Linked DNA regions of Caenorhabditis elegans. The protein of the gene in region 2 purifies or fractionates together with the protein of the main gene of each other region. This does not show direct contact. Each region holds a gene or a part of one and is shown on either strand. Other genes may lie near its edges.

Region 1 (5,604 bases), on a different chromosome or scaffold from region 2:
GTTATTTTATCGAATTTTCCGTCATTTTCGGCATTTTTTTCCAATAAGTTTATACAATTTTATCAGGGAGATTCTGCTGTGTTTTTTCTGAATTTATTTTAACGAAAAGGAAATGTCTTCGAATTGTGATACTATCGTCTAAAAACCTCGAATTCTAATTTTTTTATAGTTTTTAAACAAAATTTAATCTTTTTTAGAAGATTATATCACATCTAATTTAGAAAAATCAGCTGCAATCAAAATTTTAAATTGGTTTTCCGTTGTTACTCTGAAGAAATTCAAATTTTCAGGCGATTTTTGCTCAAATATTGTCCTCACCTTCCACTCTTTTCTACGCTTATCCATTTCGGCTTCAGCCTCTTCTCTCATTTCCGGTGCCATATCACTGGTTCCAATGATGTGTCTTGTCAAGAATTTTACCATTCCGAATCCCTTCAGACGATTCTTCTTGAAGATCGACTCAAGTGTGCTATCACAGATAATGTATTGTCCGTTTTTTGGATCCTTCAGATTATTTTCCTTAATATAATCCCAGAGAGCCTTCACCACATCGCAACGCTTCATCCACTGATCTTTGGTGACTTGTTGAAGCTCTGTGCTGATATAACAGAGCTTTGTCATTGGTCCAAAGACTCCAGACATATCTGCATTTGGATCCTTCACCTTCTTCTTCTTATTATTCGCAAATCTACCTCCTTCCGAGGTATTTCTGATCTGTTTCAGAGCGTCCGAAGCAGCAGCTCTTCTTGTAGATTTGATGCTTGATGCCATATCTGGTGGAATCCTTGTAGTAGTTTTCTTTCCTCTCTTCTTCCCGTCCATAACAGCATCTTCAACACCGCTATCCGAGTCGGAATCCTCTTTCACCTCTTTTTTAGCTTTTACTGGCAGCTCTTCTTTCTTGACTTTTTCTGTTTTCTCCTTCTTTTCCTCCCCTTCTTCATGATCACTATCACTGTCAGTTCCACCATCATCTGAACTATCTGAGCCATTTTCATCATTTCTTTTCTTAATTTCTTCGATAACCATCTTCTTAAGCTGCGATTTATAAGAGTCAAAGTTGATATTAAAACGATTCTGTAAAGTTTTTTGATAAATAGTTGCGGATTCCCACGCTTTGAACTCACATTCATATGCCTTACGATATCCGATGGAGTTAATTCGTCGAAACCTGGCTTGCGAACCAACAATGCGATTTCCTCCTCAGCAGCCTGAAAATTTACATGATTTTCTTTAAAATTGTGCAATAGATTACCTCCTTGTCCATGGGGAACGAAGAAATAGGCTCCTCAGTTGTCATTTTGACCTGGCTTGATTTTACCCGACAGCGATCTGAAAAAACCAAAAAAATCAATAACTTATCGTCTAATTGAATTTTAATTGGCGGACACGGTTTATGGGGTAATGTTGTATGATGAATAGGTTCAGATGGTAGTTGAACATGTATTTATTCAACTATAACTTGAAAATCTTTTAAAAAAATCGGGAAACAATTCGAATTCTTCGTGAAATTTTAAAAGGCCCGCCTCCCGAAACCGCGTTGACAAGAAAATAAAAGAGACGACTACGGTGAAAATTGTTATGTGCACGGTGTTTGCGGACTTGCATACCGTATCCTTTCCATATATTTCCATGTTGTTTTGATTGTACTTTTTGTAAATTTTTGTTGCGAAATTACACTTTCCTCTTTCCTCTCGTTTCTTCTCATAATTTCCCCCAAATTACCATTTATTCTAGATGTCAGCAGTTGAAAGTCCCGTTATTGTGACAGAGCCCGGTTCGTTGAAGCCGCAGGGCCTCACTCAGACAGCTACAGGCGGAAAGTTTGGTGCTGCCGCTACGTAAGTCATAATTTCACAAATTTCTCTACTAATCTTATGTTTTTCAGAGTCAAAACCACTCCAACAAAAGCAAAACCATATGTGAAGCCGCAAAATGCAAATAATTTGCAAAACAACTTCAATCCGCGGAAAATCTTCACCGAATACATATCAAAGGAGGAAACAGATGCCGGAATCGAAGACGGTTCAATGTTCAAAGGTGTCTTGCGGATAAATCCAAAAAACTATCAAGAATGTTTTTTGGATCATCCAAAAGGCACAAATCATCCAGATGTTCTTGTTTTGGGCCAAGATCGGAATCGTGCGATGCAAGGAGATGTGGTGGCTGTAAAGATCAAGCCAAAAGAGGATTGGCTTGTACGGTTTAATCATTTGAAAAAAACAACTAGAACTGATTTCATCCAAATAATACCTATTTTTCCACGAATCTTTTAGAGCTTTGTGGATATTCTTCCTGTAGATTACATAAATTTATTTTTAATTCTAGGAATTTAAAAATGAGAAAAAAGAAAACATCTAAAATCCATTAAAGCCTGCTAATTTCGAATAGTTATATGCAAATTATGTTCACAAAATCTGAATTCTTCGAGGAAAAAACTATTTTTCCAGGTAAACTATGTGGAATATGTGAAATGGTGGGCGGAGCACAAGAAAGGAGATCGAAATAGCGGCAAAACGGACAACAATAGCCCAAATAAAACAGAAAAACGATGTCTGCGCAACGAAATTCAAGACAATGGAGTTACAAGTGACGAAGTTCCCGATTCTTGTCTCATCACCATCGGAGCCATTGTTCATATCCTTGAGAAGAAACATTTCCGTGTAGCCGCCGGCAAGCTCCAGCTAATGCCAAACAGCGCGAATCCCAACGTGTTGTTCGTTGCTACAGATTCTCGTGTCCCTCGAATTCTCATTCCAAAATCCGATGTGGATAAGGAGTTCTTCTCACGCCCAAAGGACTTTGAGAGATTCCTTTACACAGCTAAGATCACTGATTGGCGCGCTGAATCTGTTTATGCCGATGGAAGACTCGTGAAGCTTCTTGGCATGTCCGGAGAAATCGATACAGAAACTGAAAGAATCGTCTACGAGCACCAAATCGATCACAGAGAGTTCAGCGACGAATGCCTCGAATCACTTCCAATCACTACAGCCGAAAACTGGAAGGTCCCTGATGCCGAGTTCGAGTACCGAAGAGATTTCCGAAGTGACATCGTTTTTACAATCGATCCAAAAACCGCTAGAGATCTCGACGATGCTCTTCACGCGAAACACATCGATGATTGTGACGGAAAAGGAACTCCAGGCCTTGAGATTGGAGTTCATATTGCTGATGTTACATTCTTCCTGAAAGAAGGTACAGAGCTTGACAAATGGGCATCCGAACGTGGAAATAGTACTTATCTATCACAAACTGTAATTCCAATGCTTCCAAGAATCCTCTGTGAGCAGCTGTGCTCTTTGAACCCTGGAGTCGATCGCCTCTCCTTCTCAACTGTATTCAAAATGAGCTACGAAGCCGAGCTGTATGATGTTTGGTTTGGAAGATCTGTTATCAGATCCCGTGTTAAACTTGCCTACGAACATGCACAGGATTTCATCGAGAACCCGGAGAAGGACTTCACATGCGACGAGCTTCCCGATATTTCAGATGGAAATACGCCTTTTGAGATCAAGGAAAAGACTCTGATGTTGCACAGAATCGCGCAAGTTCTTCGACAAAAGCGTGAAGATAGTGGAGCATTGCGGATCGAGCTTCCCAGATTGAAATTTGCATTGGATGAGGATAAGAAGCCACAAGGAGTTTCTATATACGAGGTTAATAAACAGTTTTTTGTTAAAGAAAATGTGTTTTTATATTAATTTTTGTTTTCAAACAGCAATTTTTTGGTCACATTTTTTCGGTTCTAGCAACAAAAAAGTAATCCATAAATTTAGATTTTCAAAAATCGGAAATTTAAAAAGAATTGCCAATTTTATAAAATACAAATGTTAAAATTTCAGATCAAAGATTCGAATAAACTCGTAGAAGAGTTCATGCTGCTCGCCAATATGGAAGTGGCTAAAAAGATCGCTGAAAATTTCCCAGAACACGCCCTTCTTCGTAATCACCCGCCACCAAAAGAGAAAATGATAAAGGACGTGGCTGAGCAATGTGCAAGAATTGGATTTCCATTGGACGGAAGAACGTCTGGATTACTTTCCACGTCACTTCGCAAGTATCAAGGAAAATCCCGTTTGGATATGTGCATTCGACAAGTAATTTCCTCATTGACAATTAAGCCAATGCAACAGGCGAAATATTTTTGCACTTTCGAGATGCCTCTTTCATTTTATCATCATTTTGCTCTCAACGTGGATCATTATACACATTTCACATCGCCAATTCGTCGGTATCCAGATGTGATTGTTCATCGACAACTTGCTGCTGCTCTTGGTTATAATGAAAGATCTGAAAGAGTTCCTGAAGAGATACAGGAGATTGTAAGTTTTCAAACACTCAAGAAATTTTTGCATTTAAATTTTCAGTGCACCCGCTGCAATGACACAAAGCTCGCATCGAAGGAAGCTTCGGATGAGTCTGCGATGCTCTATTTTGGAGTTTTCATCCATCAAACCGGTCCGATGAAGTGCCAAGCTGTTGTTCTTGGTGTAATGGATCTCTCATTCGACGTCCTCATCGTTGAGTATGGAGTTGTGAAGAGAGTTTATGTGGATGTGAGTATAGATTTCAAACAATGACGAAAAAAAAATCCGAATAATTTCAGAAAATGAAGCGAGACTTCAACAAATCGACCGAGAAGCTTACCATTTACTGGCCAGCAGATCCGAATGCGGAATCCGGAAACCGTGAAGAGTTTTCGAGCTCAATTCAAATGTGCAACGTGGTTTACGTGATTCTCGTGCCGTACAAAAGCATTGAAGTCAGCGCGACAATTGTTCGTCCGAGTCTCGAGCAACGTAATATTCTCAAGTCGACTCTCAAGGACATGAAAGAAACGGGCTCAACAATTCTTCAGTAGTCATTCGGATTCAGTGATCTCCTCCAGCAAAAGCTTTTTTTCCTTTTTCAATCCTTTTTTCCCCTTTTTCTATCCTTTTTTTCCCTTTTTCTATCCTTTTTTTTCTCCTTTATCCTTTTTTTCTTTAAATTCCATTTTCCCGTTGTATTTTTTAAAACGCGTGTCCATTCCTCGTCCCGGTTACTTTTGGTGTCGAATGAAAATGCATTATTCAATATTACTAGCGAAACTTTTATTTGACAAGTTTTGGGTGTTAACTGTCACGTAACTCGTTAAGAAAATTAGAAACTAGAGAAATATAGGACAATTGAGAAGTGCAGTTAAAATAATATGTATTGTTATCTATTCGATATCCATCATTGTCTGTCCCCAGATCATATTCGACTCGCATTGGTAGCTGACCGGTTTGGCGGTGAAGTTGAAGTACTGACGGTTGACCTTCAGATTGGAGCACATTTCGAGGAAAAGCTCCATGTTCGTGTCAGAGACGCAGCCATGAACGTTGAGATAAACGAGCGAAGGCTTACTGTTGAAGTGTCTGGAAATGTTTTGTTTAAATAAATTAAACTAATTTTCAAATAAACTCACACAACCATATTAGGGTCCAATCCGTAGCATCGATTGAGAGAAATTGTCGTAAGTCTCGGGAATTTGTTCAGAATCACTGCGAGGCCTGGATCACTAATCTCGACGTTATCCGACAAGTCGAGGTCGGTGACGTAGTTGGATTTTGCGGCGAG
Region 2 (4,117 bases):
TTTTTCAGGCACAATGCAGGCGTAGGTAGCCTTGAAGACAGACAGGCAACAGTTTTTTTTCGTTTTCCAATTCATTTTTTAAATTTAAAATCTAACTTTAGGCCGTTCCAACTCTTCCTCTGGATCCATCTGGTCTCTGGGATCTACTGCTCCATCTCGTCGAGCACCACCACCATCTCTAGTTGAAATTTTGAGTCGCGGAGCATCTTCTCGATCTACGTTGAACTCGCGGGAAATCAGAAGAGTCTGAAAATTGGAAAATTGAATATTTTTAAGTGCTCCTGGAATTTTCCTACTCCTTGCTCTCTGATGAGCAACTCAAATGACATTGTTTCCCGATTAATCGACTCCAAATATCGACTTTCTTCGGTTGATTCGGTGTATTGAAGCCAGTATACATGAAGGGATCTGTTGGGATTTGTGGAACGGTAGATCTGGAATTTTTATAATTTTTCAAATTAAAAATACCGAGCTGTATTCTAAGATGAAATTCTTGCAGAAAATCGGATTTTTTCCAATTTTCCATTTGAGAAAAATAAAAAAAAAAAACTTATTTGAATTCTCCAAAAAATACGAAATTTAGCGATTTTTGACAGTAACCGGTCTCGACGCGACAGAATAAATTGGAATGAAAAATTGTGTGCGCCTTTAAGAAGTACAGTAATCGCTTTGTTGCTTTTTTTCGTTTAAAAAAAATCAGAAAAAATTATAAATGAAATAAGGAAAAACGGAAAAAAACCCGGTTTTTTTTCAGTTTTTTCCTCTAAAAATCACTAATTTGTCCTAAAAATAATCAAAAAATCACAAAAGTTTACACAAAATGAGGAACAACGAGAAAAAATCGATAAAAAATTCACAACAACAAAATTTTGAAACTACAGTACTCTTTAAAGGCGCACACCACTTTTAGTTAATTTTTTTTTCGATCGTGTCGAGACCTTTTTCTTTGAAAATCGGCAGAATTGTTAATCTATTTAATTCTCTAAGAATTCGATAGAATTTTTAAAATTAATTTTCAACAACGAAAAAAAATTTTAACGCAAAAAATGAAGACAAAAATAATCAAATTTTGACCTCTATCTGCCTCAACGTTTGCAGCGACATTGTGTAGAGCACAATGGCGCGAGGTTTCTTCGTTTCCAGAAGTTTCAACAAAGTATATCGTTCGCGTTCTCTCGTCGTGCTCACCACCAGTTCGGCCTAAAATATTTCTTTTTTTTTTCTCAATTTTTTTGTGGTATAAACTTCAAGATCTCCAATATTTTTCGTGATTTCCTCAATCTCTTCCATCTCCTCTTTAACCTCCCATTCTGTGGTTTCTTGTGATGTAGAAGCCTGGAAAAAATTGTTTATATTTCTGTATTCTCTACCGTATGTGCTCTGCGTGCTCTCTAAGTGAAGGTGGAGCCAGGAATTTTGGACTTTTGGGCGGAGCAAGCCGATGGCTCTTGCTCTCTGAGCAGCAGCAGCAGCATTAGTGCATTCATTTGCGCCGGCGCCGTCGTGCACTTTTTTCTGTTTCTCTCAGTCTCTTGGTCTCTCTGTGACTCTCTCCTCACGTCTTCTTTCTTTTATTTTTGCTGCGTCTTCCTCTTTTCCTCTTAAGAGCTCTTAATTTCTTTCATTTTTGCAGGTAATAAAAGGACTCTGCTCCCCACACGCGATTGCACAATGAGCTCGGCCCAAGTTAATGGAATCTCGAAGAGATTGATCGTCGAATCGCCGAATGTGAAGCTGGAGGACGGAGTGCTCGAAAGTCGGTTCACCTATCGCAAGAACCACTTTGAGCATCGTGCCGATGGGCTCCACGTGACGCCGAAGGAGCACGACTACTCGTTCAAGACGGTACTCAAGCCACGCAAGACTGGGCTCTTGTTGGTGGGACTCGGCGGCAACAACGGCTCGACCGCAGTCGGATCCATCTTCGCCAACCAGTACGCGATGACGTGGCGGACCAAGGAGGGACACAGTCAGGCAAATTATTTTGGGTTAGTGGTTTATCGATTTTTATAGTCTTAGGCTTAAACAGTAATATTAGTGAGAATGTGGGAGAAAACTACGAAAAAATGCCCAAAGTACGAGAAAAATTGGCTTGAAGCCTATTTTCAGCCTGTATGTAGGCTTTTTCTGGAGGCTTCAGTTCGATTTTTTTTGTAGTTTCCTCTCATATTCTCTCGTGAAATTCGAAACTTTAAATTCAAAATTTTCAGGTCCGTGACCCAAACTGCGACTGTTCACTTGGGCTACGACTCTGCCACCCAGAATCAGATCTTCGTGCCATTCAAGGACATCGTGCCGATTCTCTCGCCGAACGACTTGATCATCAGCGGTTGGGACATCAGCGACTCGAACCTGTACGAGGCTATGGGGCGTGCTAAGGTTTTCGAACCTGAGCTTCAGGAGAAGCTCCGCCCATTCATGGAGCCCATCGTACCGCTGCCGTCGATCTACTATCCGGACTTTATCGCTTCGAATCAGGGAGATCGTGCGAATAATGTGATCCCAGGAGACAACAAGTTGGAGCATTTGGAGCACATTCGAGCTGATATTCGCAAGTTCAAGCAGGAGCACGAGCTGGAATGTGTGATCGTGTTGTGGACGGCCAACACGGAGCGATACACGGATGTTCGCCAGGGGCTCAACGCCACCGCCGACGAGATTATGGAGTCGATTCGTGTGAATGAGGACGAGGTGTCGCCGTCGAACATCTTTGCGGTGGCATCGATTCTTGAAGGTGCTCACTACATCAATGGATCGCCGCAGAATACGCTCGTGCCAGGGCTCATCGAGCTCGCCGAGCGTCACAAAGTCTTCGTGGGAGGTGATGATTTCAAGTCGGGACAGACGAAGTTCAAATCGGCGTTCGTGGACTTCCTGGTGAGCAGTGGTATGAAGCCCGAATCGATCGTCTCGTACAACCATCTCGGAAACAATGACGGAAAGAACTTGAGCGAGGCGAGACAATTCCGCTCGAAGGAGATCTCGAAATCATCGGTCGTCGATGATATGGTCAAATCGAATCAGATCCTCTTCCCAGATGCCAAGAATCCGGATCACTGCGTTGTGATCAAGTATGTACCATATGTTGCTGATTCGAAGAGAGCCATGGACGAATATATCTGCAGGTTGGTTTTTCATATAAATTTTCCTTGAAAAAATTCAATTTTTCCAGTATCTTCATGGGCGGAAAGCAGACTTTCGTGGTTCACAACACGTGCGAGGACTCTTTGCTCGCCTCGCCTCTCATCTACGACCTGGCGATTCTCACGGAGCTCGCGAGCCGTGTCTCCTACAAAGTCGACGACGAGTACAAGCCATTCCATTCGGTGCTCTCGATCCTTTCGCTGCTCCTGAAGGCTCCAGTTGTGCCACCGGGCACGCCGATCAGCAATGCCTTCATGCGACAATTCTCGACGCTCACGAAGCTGGTGACCGCGTTGGCAGGATTCCCATCGGACACTGATATGCAAATCGAATTCTTCACCCAACTTCCGGCGGCAAAATCGAAATCTCAGTGATGATGATGATAGACGCGAATTTATTTTCAATTTTCAAAACTAACCCTTTTTTCTCTTTTCTTCTCTGTTTTGTCTTGTTGAATGAATCAGTTTTATGTTATTTGCCTATTTTTTCTTACCTCATTTCCAGATTTTCGACGCTTATACTGTAGAATTCCGAACTGTATCAAATTGGTCTGAACACGATGATCACTGGAGAATCCGCTGAGCTCTTCCGCATGTTTTCGCCGCTTTTGAGCAGCTCGAGCCGTAGTTTTTTGAGTTTTTTGAACATTTGCAATCACTTCACTTTTCGATTCGCCATCTACTGAGCTTCTCATAAGTTGAGAAATCGTATCAGGATCCCATAAAGGCTCATCTTCAGGCATTTCCTGTGTGCTTTTGTATCCCAATTGTCTCCACGTCATCCACTTCATTTTATTGATTCCATAACGAACTACGTCGGTGACCTGGCGGGAGAGATCCTCGGAGCTGGTAATGACAAGAACCGATGGTGCTGAAAATTTCAGGTTGAAGAGAGGTGTTTTCTGCTTGAAAATGGCGAGAAAAACCGGAAAAAAATCGAGTGAAAATGAAAAAATCCACTTAAAAACGAGCTT
Region 3 (7,523 bases), on a different chromosome or scaffold from region 2:
AGAGCTGAAATTTGGAAATTATTTCTTGTTTATTAATGTCACACTGACAATGTTTAAATTAGCCCGACTTTCATTCAAAAGCTCACAAATTGATTTTATTGAACTGTCTAAATATTTCTGGTTTCCATAAACTGCTTTATGTTCATAATACAATTCTCTTTTCGTTGATCTTTTGTCATTTTCGAGCAAATCATAAACTTGGTGAAGACAGTGCAAATCTCTATCCAATTTTCCTTTCCTCTTTGCTGTATAACGAAGGCAAAAATGTGATTTACTAGTCGATCTGAAAAAAAAAACAAAATTACTCAAACATTTTCAACAGGAACTTATTACATTCTCAAAGTCAACGATTTCTCTTTGTTATCCATTTGCCTTTTAATATCTGCAAGAGCGAATTCAATTTTTCTCATAGCTTGTTCCTTCGGTGGTATTACTTCATCGTCAAGAAAACTGTCATCAGAATCATCAGAATCCGAATAAATAGTGGATTGTTGAGATTCTACCTGAAAATTGCAAAATTAGATTTGAATCAGCAATATTAAGCTTACAGATCCGGGCTCATGATCGATATTTGGGTTGAAAGAATATTCATACATGCTTTAAACTAATTAGTAGAACAAAAATACAGATAAAATGGAATAAAACTTTGATAAAACTTGGACGCAAGCTAATAAGGCTCCAGCTGCAAGATACAAAAAGTCAATAATCGAAAGGACCATACGTGAAAATAAAGCACGGGTCCCGCAGCGAATCGGAGTAGTACTGTAATTTTCGTCAGATTTTTAATACTCGGCGCCGACGAGTCTCAATGTTCGATCTTCTTTTCTATATTCTTAAATTGACATTTTTCTTCAAAAAATATTTTAAAATGCATTTCTTAAATATAACTCGGTTTTTCTCAATCCCTGCCGAAAAACCACAGCTTAAATGCAATTTTGAAGCGAATGACTGCACCATTCATTTCGTCGCAGTCGAAGAAGATTTTTATAGAATATAAAATTTATGTATAGTATTCATTTTTTTCTTAAACTAGCATTAAATGTTGTTGCGCTGAAATATTTTTGCTATATTAAATTTCCTTCAAATACTTTATTCAAATAGTCATAATGAAGCTCTGATATGGTCTATATCTACCGTAGTCTTCTTGTATTTTCCACTATTCCTTCTTTTCTTGTCTCTTTTCCCATTCATTTGTCCTCTCCGCCGCAATGGCCCGTTTCCAATGCAGGCAGACATGCAGAGTGTCTGCGTCTCTCCATTTCCAATAGTGTTTCTCCTCACTTTGCCTCTCTGGCCAATCGACGCTCGGCGCGTCCACTGCATACATTCAAACCTTCTTCTTCCCCAGCTGCTTAGTCTAACACACAATTTAGACCATTTTTCATGGATTTTCTCGGTTTTCAGACGAATTTCACGATATCAAGCGATACTAGTTATCAGTATACACTTATACGTCGTTGGAAAACGAAAAAACCTCTCAGGATTCATGAAAAGTCGATTCGTACACGTCACTACTTATCGATTTTTTCACAATCTTTAGAAATCGTCAATCTTTTAGTTTTTTCTTAGCTTTTCTTATCTCACTAGCTCACAAAGGGCCCCCGAAGAGTTCTCCGTGTTTTATATGCGCTAGAAATTTTGAATGCGCGCCGAAAGTTGTGTCCTGCAATACACTACATCTCTCTTTCACTTGCACGCTATTTCTCGGTTCCATCAGTCCTACTCTTTTTGCACTAGGATGGATGGAAAGTCTATATATTGTCCTCGGTTTTATTATTCACGCAGGCTTCTTCTGAAATTCGCTTATATACTATTACCGCAATACTTTTTGTTTATCTTGAATGTTCAATTGAATCTAAAATTCTGAATTAATAATTGTTTCAGACTATCAATTTGAAAGAAGATAGTGTATCAAATTGCTGGAATTTTGAAGAATGAGCGGAAGGCCGGCGTTTGAGCAGTTTACTGCTCAACCACCGCAACCAGCCGGTGAAGTTGTTGCTCAGCAAGCTGGTGATGGAGCTCAAGGCCAAGAGCTGACAATTTCCAAACTGGAAAATGCGATAACTTCAATGGAGGAACAAGGTCTTCAGAATGACCATCGACACGCCAAAGCAGTTCTTTTGAAGCAAAAACTCCAATCTGGTCTCCCAGACGCCGTTCCAGGACAGGAAAATGGCGGGAATCAACAAATTACCCCAGCACAACTCAATCAACTGAGGGCTCAAGTGTCAGCCTATCGTCTTTTGGCTCGAAATGAACAAGTACCGGCCAACTTGATTGCGGATGCTGTCATGCTCCGACCAAAAGTTACAACTTTGTTGCCTGAACCTTATGAATATCCAGGAGAGGCAGAGAATGGAGAAAAGTTGCCGTATGATTTGATGAAGGTAGGTAAAATGGATCGAATGAAACTATACAGTCTACTTTTTTACAGATTTTCAATCTCCATCAAATACGCTGTAATCGTCCAACAACAATTTCTGTTCCATCAGGAATTGATCCTGTTGGCATGCTCAAGCAAAGAGAAAATATGATTCAAAACAGAATCGGGCTACGCATGAAGCTACTCAATAACTTACCCGCCGACATTCCAGATCACATGAAATTGAAAGCAGAAATCGAATTGCGTGCTTTACGTCTTGTCAATCTCCAAACTCAGGTAATTTCTGGATTCGAAGAGTATTTTAACCAATAAGCTGTTTTTAGGTGCGCAGTGAAGTGATGGCTTGTCTCAAAAGAGACACAACTCTCGAAACTGCACTCAATCCATATGCGTATCGACGCACAAAGCGGCAATCTTTACGCGAAGCTCGTGTTACCGAAAAGCTTGAGAAGCAACAAAAGATGGAGCAAGAAAGAAAGAGAAGGCAGAAGCATACTGATTTGATGCAAGCTATCATTCAGCATGGAAAGGAATTCAAGGAGTATCATAGGTGAGATTGTATTTAGAAAGTTCTCCTACTAATTAAATTATTTTCAGAAACAATCTTCTGAAAATGGCAAAGTCTCGCAAGGCAGTCATGACATATCATCAAAACAATGAACGTGAACGCAAGAAGGACGAGATTCGAAATGAAAAACTTCGTATGCAAAAACTGATGCAAGAAGATGAAGAAGGATATCGTGCTCTTCTTGATGAGAAGAAAGATCAACGTCTTGTGTATCTTCTTCAACAAACCGATGAGTACGTCGACTCTCTGTGCTCACTTGTTCGTCAACATCAAAATACCGAAAAGAAAAAGAAGAAGGAAGATAAGAAAATTGAAAAAGGAAATCAAATGGATGAGGAAGCCAGGGTTCACGTTCGGGAGAGAAGCACTGGAAAAGCGCTTACTGGAGATCAAGCTCCAAAGACTGAAGAAATTGAGTTTTGGCTTGAAACTCATCCAGAATATGAGATAGTTCCACGTGATCAGCTTAGTGATGACGAAGAAGAGGAAGAGGAAGAGGCTCCAGTGGAACCAGAAGAAGAGAAGGATGATCAGTACGCTGGAATGGATGAAGAGACAAAAGCTAAGATGATCCTCGAGAAGGCACGTAACGAAGAGGATGAATATGATCAGAAAACGAAAAAGCAAATGGCTGATTACTATGCAACTGCTCACAAAATCAAAGAAAAGGTTGTCAAGCAACACACAACGATGGGTGGTGGTGATCCGAATCTTCTGCTGAAACCGTATCAGATTAAGGGATTGGAATGGATGGTCTCCTTATACAACAACAATCTGAACGGTATCCTCGCCGACGAAATGGGTCTAGGAAAAACTATTCAGGTAGGAATTTGGGAAATGAGGAAATATTAATCAATTTTTAATTTTCAGACAATCTCGTTGGTGACGTATTTGATGGAAGTCAAACAAAACAATGGACCATATCTTGTCATCGTACCGCTCTCCACGTTGTCCAATTGGCAGAACGAATTTGCTAAATGGGCTCCATCTGTAACCACTATCATCTATAAAGGAACTAAAGATGCTCGTCGTCGTGTTGAAGGACAAATCAGAAAAGGAGCGTTCAACGTTTTGATGACAACATATGAATATGTGATCAAAGAGAAAGCACTGCTTGGTAAAATCCGTTGGAAGTATATGATAATCGACGAAGGACATCGTTTGAAGAATCACAATTGTAAATTGACATTGATGTTGAACGGATTCTTCCATGCTCAGCATCGTTTACTTCTTACTGGTACTCCACTTCAGAACAAACTTCCTGAGCTATGGGCTCTGCTGAACTTCTTACTTCCATCGATCTTCTCATCTTGTGGAACTTTCGAACAATGGTTCAATGCTCCATTTGCGACTACAGGAGAGAAAGTAGAACTGAATCAAGAAGAGACGATGCTCATCATCAGAAGACTGCACAAGGTTCTTCGTCCATTCTTGCTGAGACGTCTCAAAAAGGAAGTAGAATCACAGCTTCCTGACAAGACCGAGTATGTCATCAAGTGTGACCAGTCTGCTTTGCAAAAGGTTATTTATCGTCATATGCAGAAAGGATTGCTTCTCGACGCTAAAATGTCATCTGGAGCACGTTCGTTGATGAACACTGTCGTGCATCTTCGCAAGCTTTGCAATCACCCGTTCCTTTTCCCTAATATTGAAGATTCCTGCCGTGCATACTGGAAGGTCAACGAAGTCAATGGAACCGATCTAATGCGTGTTGCTGGAAAGTTGGAACTTCTCGATCGTATTCTACCGAAACTAAAGGCAACAGGTCATCGAATTCTGATGTTCTTCCAGATGACGTCTATGATGAACATTTTCGAAGACTTTTTGAATTTCCGAAGATACACGTACCTCCGTTTAGACGGTTCAACTAAACCAGACGAGCGTGGAGATCTGCTGACACAGTTTAATGCTCCTAACAGTGATTTGTTCCTTTTCATGCTTTCTACAAGAGCTGGAGGTCTTGGACTCAATTTGCAAACTGCTGATACTGTTATTATCTTTGATTCGGATTGGAATCCTCATCAGGATATGCAGGCTCAAGATCGTGCACATCGTATCGGACAAAAGAAAGAAGTTCGAGTTCTTCGTCTCATCACAGCTAACTCTGTTGAAGAGAAAATTCTTGCCGCTGCTCGCTACAAGTTGAATGTCGACGAGAAAGTTATTCAAGCAGGAAAGTTCGATCAACGTTCAACTGGAGCTGAAAGAAAGCAAATGCTCGAACAAATTATTCAAGCAGACGGAGAAGAGGAAGAAGAAGAGGAAGTTCCAGATGATGAAACTGTGAATCAGATGGTTGCTCGCTCAGAGGAAGAATTTAATATCTTCCAATCGATGGATATTGATCGTCGTCGTGAAGAAGCTAATCAACTTCACCGTAAACCCCGTCTTCTAGAAGAACATGAAATTCCAGACGATATTCTCAAATTGTCATTCGATTATGAGGAAATGGAACGAGCCAGAGAGGAAGGTCGTGAAGTTGTTGATCAAACTCCTAATCAGAGAAGACGCAGAAGAGAGGTAAGGAATATATAAGAGAATTTACAATATTAATTCATTTTCAGGTCGACTACTCTTCCGATCTTTTGTCCGATGAACAGTTCATGAAACAAGTTGAGGAAGTTGAGGATGAAAATAATCAAGCTGTGGCTGAACGTAAAAAGCAAAGAAAACGTAAAATGGCTGGATTGGACGAGAATGATGATTCTATGGATGACGTTGTTCTACAACACAAGAAGAAGAAGACGGATCCAGAATTGGCAGAAAAAATCAATGAAATGCTTGATGTTATTCTAGAATATAAAAATGAGGATGGAGAACTCATCGCGGATGTATTCCAGACACTTCCAACTCGTAAAGAACTGCCGGACTATTATCAAGTGATTTCCAAACCAATGGATTTCGATCGAATCAACAAAAAGATCGAAACAGGACGTTATACGGTTATGGAAGAATTGAATGATGATATGAATTTGCTTGTGAACAATGCTCAAACATACAACGAAGAAGGCAGTGAGATTTATGTTAGCTCTGAAACAATCGGAAAATTGTGGAAGGAACAATACGATAAGGTATGATTGATTTTTGAAATTTCGAAGTTTACATTACTTTTTCAGTTTATGAATCCACCGAAGCCAGTAGAAGAACCAGTCAAGAAGAAAGAACCTTCAACCCCATCAACTTCATCTTCTCGTCCCTCAACCAGTGGCACTCCAAGTGTGTCAGATCTTCAGCGGACACAACAGGCAACTGCTCAGCAAATGTTAATGCTTATGACACATATGCAATCACTTCCACCCGCACAGGCTCAGCAGTTTCAACAGGCATTGATGACACAGACCGGTGGAAATCAAGCCCTAATGCTTCAATATATGCAGTCGGCTATGCTAGCTCAACGTGCACAAGCTTCAACTAAAGTAACCCCCAAAAAGGACGAGAAAAAAGAAACTTCGTCTTCTGTAAAGACCGAGGAAGCTAAGAAAGATGATGAACCATCAACATCGTCTGCAAGTGCACCACCACCGAAAAAGAAGAAGGAATCGGAAGATAGTGAAGACCCAATGGAAGAAGATGAAGAAGAGGAGATCATTGGACAAAAGAAGGTTACTTGAACTTTTTTAATGTCTTTAAGTCTAATATTTAATTTCCAGGAACCAGCATCAAGCCGTCGAAAGTCTCGTCCAACTCGCCGCTTCTCGAACGAGGATGAGGAAGAAGAAGACGACGAGTGATCAAAACTAGTCTGCTCCAAATATTTTCATGTCCCCATAAACATTTATTCTCTGTTTGTGTATTCTTCATGTTCTATGATTTCTGATTTTTTGAGCTGTCACCATAAATATGTCCCACCTCGTTCCCCCATTCTTATCTCTCCTGCTTCACAGTTATCTCTCATCGCTTTTTTACTGTTTATCTCTACTTCTCTTTTCTGTCGCAAGCTACACGTTTGCAGGAAAAAATCCCTGAAACAAAAGCATTAAGCATTGTATTTAACCCATATTCCACTTTTAATCCATACTATTCGTCAACTATTTTAAAGAAAAATTTAATTTTATAAACATTTCGAGAGAAATATGCTTTTGTTATCAAGAATTATTTTCGAATTTCGTTGCGATTTCTTTTATTAAATACTTTCCGTCTTAGTTCGAGATTTTGAATGTTTAATCAAACACACTTATGATTTAGGTAAACGGGAACAAATGTCGGCACTCAGAAGCACTAAGGTGAGTTTAAGAGCTTGAAAAGGTTGAATACTTGCTCCAAAATTGAAAGTGTTATCTGAAAACCCTACGTTCTATCTTCTCAGGGTCTCGTTGCTCTCGTCACTGGCGGAGCGTCTGGACTGGGAAAGGGTGCTGCCGAAGTTTTGGCAAAGGCTGGTGCACAGGTCGCTATTCTTGATCTTCCACAGTCAAAAGGAGCCGATGTTGCGAAGGAGATCGGAGGAATCTTTACACCAGCTTCGGTAACAATGATTTCATGCTACATTTGTAAAGAGAAACTTCAAGTAAAATATTACCCAGACGCCAATTTTGCGATCTCTGTCTCGACACGCCCTTTTTTGTAAAA
Region 4 (7,609 bases), on a different chromosome or scaffold from region 2:
GCCGCCTTAAAGCCTCAATTCTACGTGGCGAAGTTCTCAACAAAGTTTTGTAAAATTTACGACAACTAAAAATTTTTTCAGCACATTCTGATTTATTATTTTAGTCACCGACTTTAATGGGTGGCCTTTAATGATTTTGAAGTTAATTTGAAAATTTTTAAAATCAATAAAGATGAACATGGACATGGATTTTTCACAAAACTAACAATTAAGAGGCAACAAAAACAAACATAATGATAGTTGTTAGAAAAATGGAAATTGAACAAAAATTTCAAAAACAAAGAAAGCAAGTCAACAAGTGTCTAACGAAGAAGTAAACTTTTCTCATCACTTGGACGCCGAGTGTGCTCAAAACCATTGTGCTCCGAAATATGACACTTTTCAACTCGTCCCATCGTTCAAAGTTATTATTCCCTCTCATTTTTTTTCCCGCGCTCTCGTTGGCTCTCGTATCATGAGCTCTCGTTGACAAGTAACTTTTAAGTTTCAAAATTTATCTATAGTTGTTAAAGTATAATGTTTTCCTAGAAGCTGTAAGCTTGGCAGGTGACTTTCCCTGCGGGAATTGCGAAAAAAATAGAGACTGAATAAAACGCATATACTGTTTCATATTGTCTGGCACGTGCCTTGTGGCAGGAGGTATACCAATACACTGCCCCGTTCTGATCCGATTACTTTGACAAAAGTCGCCGAGTCTGATACTCACAAACAGTAGCGTCAAGTGAGGAGGGCTCACTTTACCAGAATTTATTATGAATGTTTCTGGTATCATCACATTGTTTCAACTTTCCACGCGCTGTTACATTGCGTTTTGAATCGATTTTTTGGTATTCTGCCAAATATAGCTTCAGTGCGTTGCACTCGAGCATCTGAACATATTTGCTTTTTGTTTGGCGAGAGGAAGGAAAAAGCACTGAAAAGTGCTTAAAAATCGTTTTGAAATAAGGATTAGTAACTGGATTAGAGCTAGAGCATTAAGTGATATTAGGCAATTTTTGTTATTTCTAAAAATATGGAACTATGCGGGTGGAATTTTTTGTTCACATGAACGTGTCAAAAAAATTGTTAATGTTCATACCCTCATTTACATTTCCACTTTTATGGCATTTTGGAAAAAGATGGCTATATTCGCCCTGTTAGTTTTAGAAAACCTTTTCCACTAGATATTGAAATTTCGAAGTGAAGTTTTCGCTTTCATCAAACATTCTTCGAGAGCTAGCTTCAATTGTTCTCCTTCATTTTTTCTATTGCTTTATGTTGCATTGAATAGCTAAAAAAAAATTCAAAAAGCTATCCCTTCAAAAAAAGAAAATTCGCTGCTTCTCGACGTGAAAAACAATGAAAAAAGTGTTCGGTGAGTACTTGTTCTATTTACACAGCAAACCTTTTTAGCAGCCGAGCTGTTAGAAAAACCAAAAAACGCCACCAAAATATGCTTATTCACATTTTCCGTCATCACCATCGCCGCCGATTTCTGCGCATGACAAAGTGGCTTTTCTCTCTTTTTTTGGATTTCAAGGTCTAACATTGCCGTTCTAATGCCCGTTTTTTAGGTTACATTTCAAAATAACCGACTATTTTCAGAAATGTTTTCTCATCAAGATCGAGACCGCGATAGGAAGGAGGACGGTGGTGGAGACGGTACTGAGATGAAATCCAAGAGTCGGAGTCAGCCAAGTGGACTTAATCGCGTGAAAAATCTTTCAAGAAAGCTATCGGCAAAGTCAAGGTTAGTTTTTGAGGGGTTTTCGGGGGGTCAAGGGAAGTCAAAAACCGCAATTCTAAAATTTTGCGATGGGTAGCCACAGAAGGGATGTTCTTTTCATTTGAAAATGTGAAAAAGATTAATTTTTTTTAAAACCACACTGATGAGTTTAGTGAAAAAATTAAACATGCTTCTAGCGCCTCAGCTAATCAACTCAGATTTTCCGTACAAATTACTTTAGTATTACGAAATATTGAAAAATTCATCGGCCCTCAGCAAATTAGATTCCAATTCGGGAAAATACTGAATTTTCCCTGAATTCCGTGTTTTGTCTGTGTGAATTAAAGATTGTTCACATTTAAAATAACGTACCAAGGTTTTTTTTTGAAAACTTTCTAGATCACTAGTTTTTGAAAGACTAAATATTAATTTTCAGCAACTTTTTGTAAACGCCCATTACGATTAGCAAAACAGAAAAAGATAACAGCAAAAATGTTCAATGCAAAAACAAAAGAAAAGAGACTGGAGCCTTAATGCAAAACGAACAATGTGGGGGCCCTTCCCGAATAAGTGAGCCGCGCGGAACGCTGCCGCCCTCCACTAAACAACGCGCGGTACGATACTCCGTTCATCGGACCAACTTCCCCCCTCTTTACCTAGTTGGCAACATTTTCTTCGTATTCTCACGGATTCTCCTCATTCATTCCGCTTTCAAACCCAATTTCCGTGCATTTAGCATTGGAAAAACACGTGCCGCAACGTATCCGAAAATAGTGTGAGACGCAGACGGCTGGCGCCCCGCGTGAGGCGACCAAAAGGCTTTTCTTCTTTTTGTCCTCCGTTGAAAATCATGGTAAATTGAGTGATCTCGTTTGCGTATTTGTGTGTATGAGAGAGTGTGAGTGTGTGTGTGTGTGTGTGTGGACACGCCAAAGCTTGATGGAGTCACATGTATATCATGAAAAACACAAACAGATACCACACCAACGAATCTTGAACCTTGAGTTCTTCCGCCAGTGTTCATTTTTAACATCTCTTCATCGTTCTGCAAGGAGACCTGTCAAAATTTCCAACAAAAAAAAGAGTTTCCCATAAATTAGGAAAATTCTGATAGGTTCGGAAGTTTTCCGTGAAGTAACTGAATATATTTTCAATGATCACGAGAAGGCAATTGAATAAATGTTAGTTGGAAAATTTTTATTGAGCTTCTAGATTTTGTTGTCTAATATTTGAGCCTCAAACTTTTAATATAGGTTATTATTTTTTATTGCAGCCGACAATTTTTTGTGGCAATTTATATACAAAAGCATAAATATCTGAGATGCTTAGTTTCATAGAAATTCAGTTCAAGAGGCTTCACCGTATAATATAATATATTCTTGCTGAAACTACAGGAAAATTTAGTGGGAACTTGTGAAATTTGAAAGCTCCCAGATTCGATTTTGTCATTCTTTTATGCAATGCAAAAATTATTTTTAAAAAACTGTTTTCGACATTTTCTCATGATTTGTGAAAAAGTTTTTTTCTCAAATAGAAGTTAAGCTCATTTTTCTAAATAGTTTTTCTAAACCCTGGATTGTCTCAAATCCGCTGTAGAAAAGTTGAAGCGACTGACATCTTATGAGCTAAATTTTTCCTGAGTTTTTGAAATAGACTACATCTTGATAATTGAACATTACAGTTTGACAAAATTTATAAAAATATTGATCAGTTGGATTTTATTATTTTTCTGTTGTTTTGTTCTAGCTCCAGTAGGGTGGATATTTTTCAAAAATCTCAAATTTTTGTGCAACTTCTATTAGTACAAATATAAAAATATTTCAAACGTGCACTTTTTGAACATGGACATACGTTAAATTTCCAATATAAAGGGCAAACTTTCAGCTGAGTTAGGAGAATATGAGCAGCTGTTAATCACATAAATCTAACAAAAAAACCACATGTTCCAACTTAAAATTGATTTCAAAATTTTGTGGCCAAAATGAAACCCTACGATGTCAGCCGAGTTTACTTTTTCAAAGTGCAGTTAGAAAAATTGTCTCAATTTTTTATCAGTGGAAACGTTTTTGGTAGTCTCACTAATTTTAAAGTTTAACTCGTTTTAGTAGAAGTCATTTAAAAAATTCAAAAATTGCGGTGTAACAGTTCTTTTAATACTTTTTCAAATGCCATAAATCGTCTGTAATTAATTTTCTACCAACTTGACAATTTCAATTAGTAAAATCACAGTTTTAATGCATAACTTTTTGATGCTAGTCGTATCAAATTGTGATTATTGTTGTTATCTTCACCACTTATATTACGAGTGTATCAAATTTCGATGACACAATACGGCTATTATTCATTGAGCGCTTGTGTTTTCTCTATCGTCTCCACTGTCTGACCTTCGATGATGTTTTTCTACATGTTTTTTTGTTCTCTCAAAATAGATGTTTCAGTTCCTCCAACCTTTTGAAAATCTGTAATTGGTGTTGATTTTGGAACCTTTCCTATTGTCTCTTCTACCATTCATATCCGGCACATTTATGTCAAAACACTGACTGCACCTGCTGTTTTTGAAATTTAGTGTCTGGTGTCTGGGCGGCAGTCATAAGACCTGATGGGCATACGGTTTTCCTAGAGACTCCTACTGCAATGGTCATTCTGTGATAAGAAGTTGCTTTTTTGTTTATCCATTCAAAATTACCATCCAAAAACCACACCAGTTATCAATTTTTAAGTCTTTGAGACCCGTAAAATCAATCAATCATGTCCACATTGCACTTTTGCCTGTAGAAAAACGCGATTTTCGGTTTTCAATCTTATCTCATTTCTGGTTTTCGTTCCCATTTGACTACTTGTTGTCAATTTTTTAGGTTAGGTCTAAATAAATATTAAAGATTTTTTAAAAATTTAAATGAAAGTTCAATTTCTTCTTTCTATTTTTTTGTTCCTACCTACCAACGCTGTTTGCGCCGGAGGACGATAGACATAAGGAAACGAACACACGGGATGCCTTTCCCTTCTATTTTTCTCCTCTTTTTCTCTATCTCTCGCCATTGCTTTGTGCTGTATGGTCAACTCTCGTTGTCTTCGCTGTGCGTGTGTGTTTGTCTGTTGTTAGAAAACGAGGAAAATTGTGAGAAAGAGTGAGCGAGGAAGATCGAGAGAGAAGAGTGTGCGTGTGAGAGGTGTAGGGGTCGCGAGAGTGTGCGGGAGGTTGGCGGACCTTTTACCACATTTTCGGCCAAAGGAAAAAAGGCATCGATCTTTGTTGGTTGTAGTTCTAGACATTTTTTGTTTCTGCTATGTTCTCAAAACACCAAAACTTGTTCTTAGATTTCTGATCTTTGAAAAATACATGCTCTTTATACACTTGTTTTTCTCGTTGTTTTGCTATTTGCAGGAGGTTCCTCGTGACTGTATTTATTGATTTTTTAACTGAACAATTATTCTGAGGAACTTGTGAATTCGAGATTTTACTTACGATCATTTACCTACCAACAACGTACGTTTTCAGAAAGGAACGCAAGGACCGCGATAGCACAGACAACAGTTCGAAAATGTCGTCTCCAGGAGGAGAAACGTCGACGAAGCAGCAACAAGAGCTCAAAGCTCAAATCAAAATCGGACATTACATTCTCAAGGAGACACTCGGAGTTGGTACTTTTGGTAAAGTAAAAGGTAAGCTACAACACCTTAAAATTCAACCAAACCGGAAAGTTAGAAACTTTTTCATTTGCTGCAACTTCCTGGCAACACCATAAGCTGCCAAATTGTTGCAAAAATTTTGTCCCAATCTGCCAAATACTGACATATTTATCTTTCTTTTCTGTTCATCTAGTTTTCACATTTTCAGTTGGAATCCATGAGACAACTCAATACAAAGTGGCTGTCAAGATTCTGAACCGTCAGAAGATCAAGTCACTGGATGTCGTTGGAAAGATTCGCCGCGAAATCCAAAACCTCTCGCTCTTCCGCCATCCGCATATCATCCGCCTCTACCAAGTCATCAGTACACCTTCTGACATTTTCATGATTATGGAGCACGTTTCCGGCGGGGAGCTCTTTGACTACATTGTTAAGCACGGACGGCTGAAGACCGCAGAAGCTCGTCGCTTCTTTCAACAAATCATTTCCGGCGTTGACTACTGTCATCGTCATATGGTTGTCCATAGAGATTTGAAGCCAGAGAATTTGTTGCTCGATGAGCAGAACAATGTGAAGATTGCGGACTTTGGACTTTCAAATATTATGACGGATGGTGACTTCTTACGCACCAGCTGCGGATCGCCAAATTATGCTGCCCCTGAGGTTATTAGCGGAAAGTGAGTGATTATGGTGGTCTCCTGATCATGGTTCAATGTAAAATAAAAACCAAATTAGAACTGAATAACAAAACATGAAACATGTGTTCGCAAACACCAAGACGACATTTTGCACTAGTAGAAATCCAATTAAAGTAATTGAACAAGATTAGACACAACAACTTTGTTTTGCAGGTTGTACGCAGGTCCCGAAGTTGATGTATGGTCGTGTGGAGTCATTTTGTATGCACTTCTTTGTGGAACCCTGCCATTTGATGATGAGCACGTGCCAAGTCTTTTCAGAAAAATTAAATGTACGTTAGTGTGACATGAGAATCAAAACACAAAAATGGCAAAGGATTACGACAACATACCAATTTCATTTAGACATATGAAAGCGAAATGGGATTTGAAAATTGAAATATCCCTATTACAAAAGGCACTATTACTATGTTTTGGCGCACTGCCCGGGTGATAAATGTTTGAAATTTAAATTGGAATCATTAAAAATTATAACGTTCACGAAATATGTTTTTTAGCTGGCGTATTCCCAACTCCAGACTTTCTGGAGCGCCCAATTGTAAATCTGCTTCACCATATGCTCTGCGTAGACCCGATGAAGAGGGCCACCATCAAGGACGTCATGTAAGTGGTCTTCTAAAAAGAAAAAAAAAACAAACATCGTTGCTATGAGACGCCAAGGAAACAAGACAATAACTGCTTTATATTTTCAGTGCTCACGAGTGGTTCCAGAAGGATTTGCCGAACTACTTGTTCCCACCAATCAACGAGAGTGAGGCTTCCATTGTTGATATTGAGGCTGTCCGAGAGGTCACTGAGGTATTAATCGTGTTCGATAGGAGCAGAAGTTTCTAATCACAATGAAAAGTTTCAGCGCTATCATGTCGCCGAAGAGGAAGTCACCTCAGCATTGCTGGGAGATGATCCACATCACCATTTGTCGATTGCATATAACTTGATTGTTGATAACAAGAGAATTGCCGATGAGACTGCCAAGTTGTCAATTGAGGAGTTTTATCAAGTGACGCCGAATAAGGGACCTGGACCAGTTCATCGCCATCCAGAGCGCATTGCAGGTAGGAGAGGGTGCATAGAAAAACTCTTGGTGGCAAAGAATAATAAAACTTTTGCATCGAACATGAAATTCGTAAAACAATATCTAAATCTTCAATTTCAGCGTCAGTCAGCAGCAAGATCACACCAACTCTCGACAACACGGAAGCCAGTGGCGCGAACCGCAACAAACGTGCCAAGTGGCATCTGGGTATCCGATCCCAAAGTCGTCCGGAAGACATCATGTTCGAGGTGTTCCGTGCGATGAAGCAGCTGGACATGGAGTGGAAGGTGCTCAACCCATATCATGTGATTGTTCGTCGCAAGCCTGATGCACCCGCTGCCGACCCGCCAAAGATGTCGTTGCAGTTGTACCAAGTGGATCAGAGAAGTTACTTGTTGGATTTCAAGAGTTTGGCCGACGAGGAGTCTGGATGTAAGGGTTTTCTTTGTTTAGATTGAACTTTTTGAAAGTGGAACCTGTTTAAAATATTTAGTTAATCGTTCTAGAAAATACTAGAAAATACAAGTTAGTGCATTTTTT

The links.
Region 1: the proteins of inos-1 (region 2) and disl-2 fractionate together in Caenorhabditis elegans (co-fractionation; one large-scale study listed by BioGRID). This does not show direct contact.
Region 3: the proteins of inos-1 (region 2) and swsn-4 fractionate together in Caenorhabditis elegans (co-fractionation; one large-scale study listed by BioGRID). This does not show direct contact.
Region 4: the proteins of inos-1 (region 2) and aak-2 fractionate together in Caenorhabditis elegans (co-fractionation; one large-scale study listed by BioGRID). This does not show direct contact.

What each region holds. Positions count from the first base shown.
Region 1 is NC_003281.10:5,441,430-5,447,033, forward strand, and holds disl-2 (DIS3-like exonuclease 2), read left to right. Parts: upstream 1-1,737; coding exon 1,738-1,841; intron 1,842-1,888; coding exon 1,889-2,198; intron 2,199-2,450; coding exon 2,451-3,659; intron 3,660-3,845; coding exon 3,846-4,325; intron 4,326-4,370; coding exon 4,371-4,559; intron 4,560-4,609; coding exon 4,610-4,864; 3' UTR 4,865-5,077; downstream 5,078-5,604. Other genes in the region: T24G10.2 (DM2 domain-containing protein), read right to left, coding at 319-1,077, 1,128-1,211, 1,256-1,300; skpt-1 (F-box domain-containing protein), read right to left, coding at 5,207-5,402, 5,453-5,604. UniProt on the Caenorhabditis elegans protein: 3'-5'-exoribonuclease that specifically recognizes RNAs polyuridylated at their 3' end and mediates their degradation.
Region 2 is NC_003280.10:11,697,817-11,701,933, reverse strand, and holds inos-1 (Inositol-3-phosphate synthase), read left to right. Parts: upstream 1-1,633; 5' UTR 1,634-1,671; coding exon 1,672-1,988; intron 1,989-2,210; coding exon 2,211-3,125; intron 3,126-3,172; coding exon 3,173-3,518; 3' UTR 3,519-3,617; downstream 3,618-4,117. Other genes in the region: xpf-1 (DNA repair endonuclease XPF), read right to left, coding at 97-246, 297-434, 1,075-1,200, 1,246-1,335, 3,638-4,014.
Region 3 is NC_003282.8:11,124,140-11,131,662, forward strand, and holds swsn-4 (SWI/SNF chromatin remodeling complex core catalytic subunit swsn-4), read left to right. Parts: upstream 1-1,884; 5' UTR 1,885-1,934; coding exon 1,935-2,390; intron 2,391-2,437; coding exon 2,438-2,662; intron 2,663-2,709; coding exon 2,710-2,936; intron 2,937-2,983; coding exon 2,984-3,776; intron 3,777-3,824; coding exon 3,825-5,474; intron 5,475-5,518; coding exon 5,519-6,025; intron 6,026-6,070; coding exon 6,071-6,556; intron 6,557-6,604; coding exon 6,605-6,685; 3' UTR 6,686-7,023; downstream 7,024-7,523. Other genes in the region: Meiotic recombination protein spo-11, read right to left, coding at 1-4, 49-283, 334-503, 549-596; ard-1 (3-hydroxyacyl-CoA dehydrogenase type-2), read left to right, coding at 7,154-7,177, 7,261-7,419.
Region 4 is NC_003284.9:16,794,503-16,802,111, forward strand, and holds the start of aak-2 (5'-AMP-activated protein kinase catalytic subunit alpha-2), read left to right. Parts: upstream 1-1,586; coding exon 1,587-1,729; intron 1,730-2,612; exon of another isoform or gene 2,613-2,672; intron 2,673-5,204; coding exon 5,205-5,368; intron 5,369-5,543; coding exon 5,544-6,012; intron 6,013-6,186; coding exon 6,187-6,305; intron 6,306-6,530; coding exon 6,531-6,636; intron 6,637-6,725; coding exon 6,726-6,831; intron 6,832-6,880; coding exon 6,881-7,088; intron 7,089-7,189; coding exon 7,190-7,501; intron 7,502-7,609. UniProt on the Caenorhabditis elegans protein: Acts as a sensor that couples lifespan to information about energy levels and insulin-like signals. Role in motility and response to oxidative stress. Involved in the establishment of germline stem cell (GSC) quiescence during dauer development.